2 linked regions of the Caenorhabditis elegans genome follow. The protein of the gene in region 1 interacts with the protein of each later gene in a pairwise test. Each region holds a gene or a part of one and is shown on either strand. Other genes may lie near its edges. The genes, in order: W01B11.1 and C24D10.2.

Region 1 (3,760 bases):
ACACATTTAATCATTTAGGTTCTTTCCATTTCTTTTTTTTTAGAAAATTAGAGCAAATAAATTAAAATATAGATCAGTATATTTGGTGTTAGTAGTGGGATACTGTAGGGGTACTGTAGTTTTCGAGAGAAAAAACTTTTCGTCTAGATAAAAGATGTTGAGCAGGGAGTGGTCGACAATTGCTGTTCGGCAAATTTTTTGTCGACAAATTTGGCAAATCGGCAAATTGGCAATTTGCCGCTTGCCGCTTGCCGGATATCATTTTGCCGGAAGTGTTTAGAGGGATTTTTTATAAAACGGAAACACTTAAAACTGTACCTTTTTGAAATTTCTTTCCCGTTTCATGTAAATATGCAAATTCGGCAAATCGACGATTGTCGATTTGCCGGAAATTTCAATTCCGCCTATTTGCCGATTTGCTGGAAATTTTCATGTCTGGGAATTTGTCGGTTTGCCGATGTGCCGGAGATTTCAATTCCGGCAATTTGCAGATTTACCGGAAATCTCAATTCTTGCAATTTGCCGGTTTGCCGATGTGCCGGAATATTCAATTCCGGCAATTCGCCGATTCGCCGGATTGCCGGAAATTTTCATATCCCGTAATTTGCCGGTTTGCCAATTTGTCGGAAATTTCAATTCCGCCAGTTTGCCGGTTTGCCGATTTGCAGGAAATTTTCAATTCCGGCAATTTGTCGGTTTTTCCGATTTGCCGATCACCACTGACGTTGGGTTGATTAGGATATGGTCGAATAGTAGCATTTAAACTTCGCAAAAAAAGACGGGTACGCAAATGACTGGTTAATAATAGAAAAATTAATAAAATCCATACAATCTTTATTCCAATCACATGAGTCCATCAATCAATACCATCAAAGTGATAGCAACTGAAATAAAGACAAGAAATGCACTGAATGCCATTTGCCATTTAAAGGCGGACAATGATGGAGGTGGCTCGGAAGATTCTTTCGATTTGGAGCCACCCGAACGCTTTGTGCGCTTCTTCTTCTCCTTTCCGTTGCTTGGCGATGAGTCTTTCGATTTGCTCTTCGATTTTGATGCTTTTTTAGCCGGTTGCACTTGGAATCTGGAAATTTATTTCGAATTTGTATATTTTTCAGTTGCTATGGAACACCTTCTCTAATTTTTACAAAATTCTATGACAAAATGGAAAGTGTTAAGTACCCTACAGTATCCCTCCACTAAGCCCATTTACTATCGCTTCTACTGGCAAAAACTAAAACCTTCCAAACCTACAGTACCCTTACAGTACCCCTACAACATTCATCCGCTAACCACCCAATATTCCAGCAATAGGCAATTCCCACGGTTTCCCAAGGTTACAGTAATCCTGAAGTACCCCTACCGTACCCATTCAACATACAAAAACTCCCTTTTTCCAAAACTACAGAAACCCTAGAAGACTTCTACAGTACCCCTAAATAACTTTTTCAGAAATTTCCAGCAATTTGGAAAAAAATTATATTAAAAAATCAGGCAATGTTAAATTTGAAAAGCAAAATCCAAAAAAGTGTTCCTACTTCTTTGCCTCCGACGCGGGTGGAAGCTCATTCGACGGAGCAGGTGCGGGACGTGATGCTCCTGGAGCAACTGCTGGCGGTTGTTGGACTGGTGGTGGAGGAGCGAGCTGAAATTTGGCTTTCTGTTGCCTGAAAATAAATGTAAACTTACTAAATCTGGAGCCAAAAACTGGTAAGCGTCGTCGCCCATGTTGTGTTGCGAAATCGAATGAACCGTTCAAATTGTGATTGAGAAATAAGTTCACGAAAACATTTAAATTTATATTTTTTCAATTTTCAAAAATAAATTTAACCGGCATCTTTGTTTAAAAAAATCAATACAAATATTTTTAATGTGATAACGTTTTTTTAACTCGTGGGAAGTACTGTAGTTTAAAAGTTTTGCTCGTGACAAGACCCGTTATTTTCAGTTTAAAATCTGATGTTTAGTGTACCTATTCTCTAGTTTTTGTGTCTTTCGTATTTTATATTTTCCCTGCCGACTAACACGTTGTTGAACTATATTTTTGATTCACTAAAACTTATTTGTAGTTGACCTAACGGGTTGTCAATAAATACCAACATTTTCTACTCTAAAATAACTTTTTCGTTTTTGGGTCCCGGCGCTGAAAACATTTTTTTTTGAGCTTGTTCCTTTGAAACGATAATGTAGCAATTAAAAATTACGTTTAAAACTTATGTATAAAAAAAAGGTTTTTTAAATTTAAAAAATTCTATTTCCGAGAAAAAATATGGAGCGAAATTTTTCGAGCAAAGTTTTAGCGGAAAATTCAAAGTATTCGAGAACAAAATCGGTCGAAAATTCGAACTTTTTGAGGGCACATTTGGCGGGAAATTCAAATTTTCTAAGAAATATTTTTGGCGGGAAACTCAAATTTTTTGAGCTTAATTTTAGCGGTAGATTCAAATTTTCTGAGAAATATTTTTGGCGGGAAATTCAAATTTTTCGAAGTAACATTCTGACCGGAAATTTAAATTTCTAAGAAATTTTTTGTTGGGAAATTCAAATTCTTCGAGAAAAAAATCGGTCGGAAATGTAACTTTTTGAGATAAAAATTGGGTGGGAAATTAAAAATGTGCTGAGAATATAATTTGGTGGGAAATTCAAATTGTCTACAATGTATTTTTGGCGGGAATTCAAATTTTCTGTGAAATACTTTTGATGGGAAATTCAAATTTTCTGGAGAGAATTTATGTCGGGATACTCAAACTATAGAATTTTTCTGCGAAAAAGAAACAAACAAAACGTTGTTTATATGTTTCCTCCCCATTAGAACACCAAAGTACACAAAAACAAACACAAATTTGCTCTTCTTTTTTGTGCTCGGCGAGCAAGAAGGGCATCCCCCATAGCCGGAAGCAATTTCTTCTTCTCCTTCTTTTTTCTCCTCACTCACACTCTTTCTAGAAGTCTCAATGACGTCTTCTTACGTGATTTTTTGTGGTTTTTTGATCAGAAAATGAACTGTGAATTATTATTGATCACTTGATTTCGTATCAAAATTGATCACTTATCATTCAATTCTCAGAATTTCGCCAACTTTCACACGGGAATTCCCACAGACCCGGGTTTAAAGGTTCACATGTCTAAAATTTTGAGTCGATCATTTTTCTGGAGCTGGATTTCTGAAAAGAACGGCCAAAAATGGCTAAAATCACATTTTTGAGCACGGGCCGAGAAAATTTTCAAAAATGGTGCATTTGTTTTAAAACGGATCCGCTATTTTTAAAATCAAGTTTAACATTATTTTATGCATGTTACGCCACCCTTATTATTTTTGGCAGAAAAAAAACACGGCCACCGATTTTCTTTCGCGGCCATATTGACACACAACGACTCTCCGGTATCCCACAAAACGTGGCCTTCAGAAAAAATATTAGTGGCCGAGCTTTTGCAAACTGCTCAGAATTAGTTTTTTTTAATTTAAAATTAGATTTTTGTCAATTATGTTTTCAGAAATAACAGGTTGGTTTTTTTTTTTTGGAAAAATTGTATTTCACTGTAACTGGTCTCTGAATTTTCGAGATTTTTTTTGCATTGATTTTTAAAAAATTCCAAAAATAGGTGGCCGCGGAAAAACATCTTCCATTACTAAATTCGTAGGCCACGTTGCAAATAAGACGCCCACGTTACCTATGTATATATGATATAATTCCAAAAATGTTTGAATAAAACTTAAATTTTGTGCCAAAGTTTCTCTGATAGCCAGAAAATTTGAATT
Region 2 (3,670 bases), on another chromosome or scaffold:
GTTAATTCAGATTTCGTAAAATTTAAATATTCTATAGACATCAAATTGGAATATTGGAATTGTTCTATCCAAAAATTACTATACACTTTCAGGGTCATTTAGGAAATTAGTAGTACTAGAGAGAAGTGTATCTATATGCATATTTTCACATGTGGGATGAAATGGCAAGAGACACAGATAAATGAATGTTAAAATGTACTTTTGCATTACTTGTAGCCACTCTAAATTTGACTCATCACAAATTTTTCGATTTCAAATTTGGGATAGATTACTGTATTTAGGTTGAACAATCATGCATTTGATACAAACAATTTTGGTAATTGATAACATATCACACAACAAAAGCAGGCTCTGTGGACAACTTGGCCCGATTTCTCCAATTTCCCAAAAAGACAAATCTAAAGTAGGCAGGCTTGCAGGCATTAGAATAAGTGAAAAGATAATTAGTTAAAAGATAATTAGTTTGGCTAAATTTGGAGTGGCCGGGCTCCAGTCTTTTTTCGGATTTCGGTTTTTTCATTGATTTTTACATAATTTTGGAGGCTCGAAAAAGTTAGGCAGGCATTCAGGCATTCACATAAGTAGGCAGGACCTTGGAAATGGCGCAGGCGTAATGTAGGTGCGGCTACTTACTATTGAAATGAAAAGATGAAAAAAGACAGATATTTAGGCAGAGTTCTTAGCCGTAACGGCATGTCTGAGTAAGATAACAAAAAAAAACGAGCCATAAACCAATACTTTATTGAGAAGTGACAAATAGAATTGACACTTTAAAAATAAGCGGACGTCACTTTTTCATTTCTTTCGATTCGTCTCTCAATTAGAAGACGATTCTTCAAGTCCTCCCCACCATGGATGGATGTAGTGCACCATGTTTCCTCCAGACTTCACGCTGAAGAAGATTGCAACTGCAACGAAGACGAGCAGCACCACCAATCCGACAACTGAAAAGTATAACATTGTATAATTGAACCCTTCCGTGTAGGCACAATGTTGCCATACAAAATACTTTCTGTACAACTTTAAGGCAAGCTGGTAGGCATTATCGTGCCTGCAGTCTTGGTCCTCCAACTCACCGATTCCAGCACAAAATATGGTTCCCTCGATGCGAAACAAGAAGTTTTGCGACTCAAACTTGTCTGTCTTTCTGACTTTCTTGGTCTTCGACTTTCCCTTCGACTTCTTTCCTTTTTTGCCCTTCTTATCCTTCTTCTTTTTGTCTTCCTTCTTGTTCAGTGTTCCAAGTAGATCCAGCATTGCCGACGATCCTCCTTGAGGTTTAGCGCCTGGTGTTGGATCACCTGCATCCGTGAATGAGACGTTGTCATCAGCCATCTTTTTATTACGCCCTTTGTTTCTCTGAAATACGGAACATTATGAGAAATTCGACTGTGATCGTGACGAGACCCGCTGAACCCGCGCCTAATTGAGACCTATCAGTCTAAGTCTTTGAACGGGTCATAAAAACAGTAACACTTTCTCATTCACCGTATCTGCGAGTGCAAAACTTCAAAAAGTTCTATGGCTCTCAGAAAATCCCACAAAGCGCCAATGTCCCGATTGAAAAGCAAACGAATGTTTAGCGAATAACAAAAAGCTGAACTTTAGAGCATGCCACGCTCTTCGTTCGGCCCACACTTGCTCGATTGACACATCTTCCCAACCATTTCGAGTATAAACTCACCTTTTAGAGCTCGATGAGCAACCGGCGACTTTTGAATCCTTTGTTGTAAGCAATGAATTTTTGAATGAAGAAACAAGTAGACACGTCTGAAGGTGAGAATACTAATAGAATTATTTTATTTCAGAATGTCACGGGATATATTAAGTTTAAAATGTTTTTTCTTGTGCCTGTCGATTTATGCGATTTTTCAAAGAAATTTCAAAAGTTGAAAAGTTCATTTATACGACTTGCACTTTCCGTGGAATATTCTTATCTTCGCCCTAGATCTTTCCTTTTATAACGAGCCAGAAATCGTCAGTTTATCAGTTTTCTGAGCAAGTTTCTCTGAACAACCTCAAACGAAAGACAACGATGGCGGACAAGTCGGCTTACATGGGCGCTGGTGGCTATGGATCGGGCTACATGGGATCCAATGCTTCTTCGTCAGGTTATGCCCGCGAAGACTATGCACAAGGAGGCAATGGTGGTGGTGGACAGCAGCAGAACCAAGGATCCGGAGGAAACACCAACCCAGGTGGGCAGGTCTTCAAGGCCCGTACTGACCAGTCCTGTTACCTTGGACCATAAGAAAATCGACACAAGAAGAGCCAGTCGCCCAAAGAAGTGCAACTTTCATTGGCCCTTTTGTGCCCAATAAATATTATTTCTTAGCTCGTTTTTTGTTGTTTTTAATTTTTAAATTAATTAATTGCTTTCTCGAAAGCAATAAGTTCTCCTCGGTTGTTGGCAGGTGTTCCGTACACCGGTCTAAATTGGTCTAAATTGGTCTAAATTGGTCTTAATAAATCTCCAGTAAAAAGCTCCGTCTGTGTAAACAACTGGGGCACCGGCAAATTCGGGATTGATAACTTAACTTTTTCGTGATACATAATTACAATTTATTATGCAAATAAATTGGTTTTATATTTCAGTCTTATTCTTATATCTTCAGTTTTTTAGCTTCTGCAAATTTTGTTCCTTCGCGCGTCCGCTTGCTCATGGTTGATGGAGTTGATACTGCAGGCGTTACCAGTTCTGTTACCGGCTACCGGCTCACGGGTAAAACTGCCCGAAATCTTACTTGATCCTGGAACACTCATTATCGGCAACGAATTTGCGAGCTTCAGCTTCAATGGCAAATTTCTTGTTTCTAAAACAATGCTTGGCTCCTAAATTGTCCAGAAGAAACATTTACCTTTTGCAATTACTTCGAATTTTGGAATCTGCCAATCTGCGTTTTGCATTCGTTTCATGTATAGTAGGCCTAGATTATGCATATTACACAGATGCCAATACCACGGTACTCGGTTTCGACACAACAAATTTAACAATAAATGCAAACGGGTCTGCGCCTTTAAGGATTACTGTAGTTTTTTCCACGTAGCGTTTTTCATTTTCTAATGGACGAACTATTAAGTATTTGGATCATTTTGATGTTATTGTTCCACCAAATTTCTTTGTAAAATTGAAACAAATTCAGTGATTTTTGTGAGAAGTATCAAAAATTCGAGAGCTTCTATAGAGTAGTACGGTCGTTTTACGACTTTAAAACCTATTTCCCGTAGTTTTTCATCGATTTGAAATCGATTGGCATCAACAATTTTTCATGAAATATGTCAGAACATGATGAAACTCGAAATTTTAGGGTGTTCTCTAGAAGTTGCACGCACTGACTGTTTCAACTTTGTGATATATTGCAACTAAAAATAGAATTTTGCTACAGAAGTGGACGTATTTAGGTAGAATCTCTAAAGTAAAATCCATATATTTTCTACTCTATCTACAGGAACGTCATATTACTTGGCAAATACATATATTACGCAATGAACTACGTTTCCTATTACATCGCCGTTCCTGGTTGTCTCAAATATTACTGTGAGAATACATCAGAACAATTGCATTCCATTATTATGGGAAACTAATAGTCGACTTCCAGAGGATTGTCCATTCGTCATAATAATCAATTCACAATGAATCTGAAAACCTATGAACTTGCAATTTTAATAA

What was found.
Region 2: the proteins of W01B11.1 (region 1) and C24D10.2 interact in a two-hybrid assay, tested with the Caenorhabditis elegans proteins (one large-scale study listed by BioGRID).

Annotation. Positions count from the first base shown.
Region 1 is NC_003279.8:3,297,574-3,301,333, reverse strand, and holds W01B11.1 (uncharacterized protein), read right to left. Parts: upstream 1,765-3,760; 5' UTR 1,729-1,764; coding exon 1,690-1,728; intron 1,646-1,689; coding exon 1,539-1,645; intron 1,085-1,538; coding exon 844-1,084; 3' UTR 818-843; downstream 1-817.
Region 2 is NC_003282.8:5,161,407-5,165,076, reverse strand, and holds C24D10.2 (uncharacterized protein), read right to left. Parts: upstream 1,739-3,670; 5' UTR 1,685-1,738; intron 1,540-1,684; exon of another isoform or gene 1,519-1,539; intron 1,360-1,518; 5' UTR 1,336-1,359; coding exon 1,077-1,335; intron 945-1,076; coding exon 817-944; 3' UTR 726-816; downstream 1-725. Other genes in the region: nspd-3 (Nematode Specific Peptide family, group D), read left to right, coding at 2,036-2,251.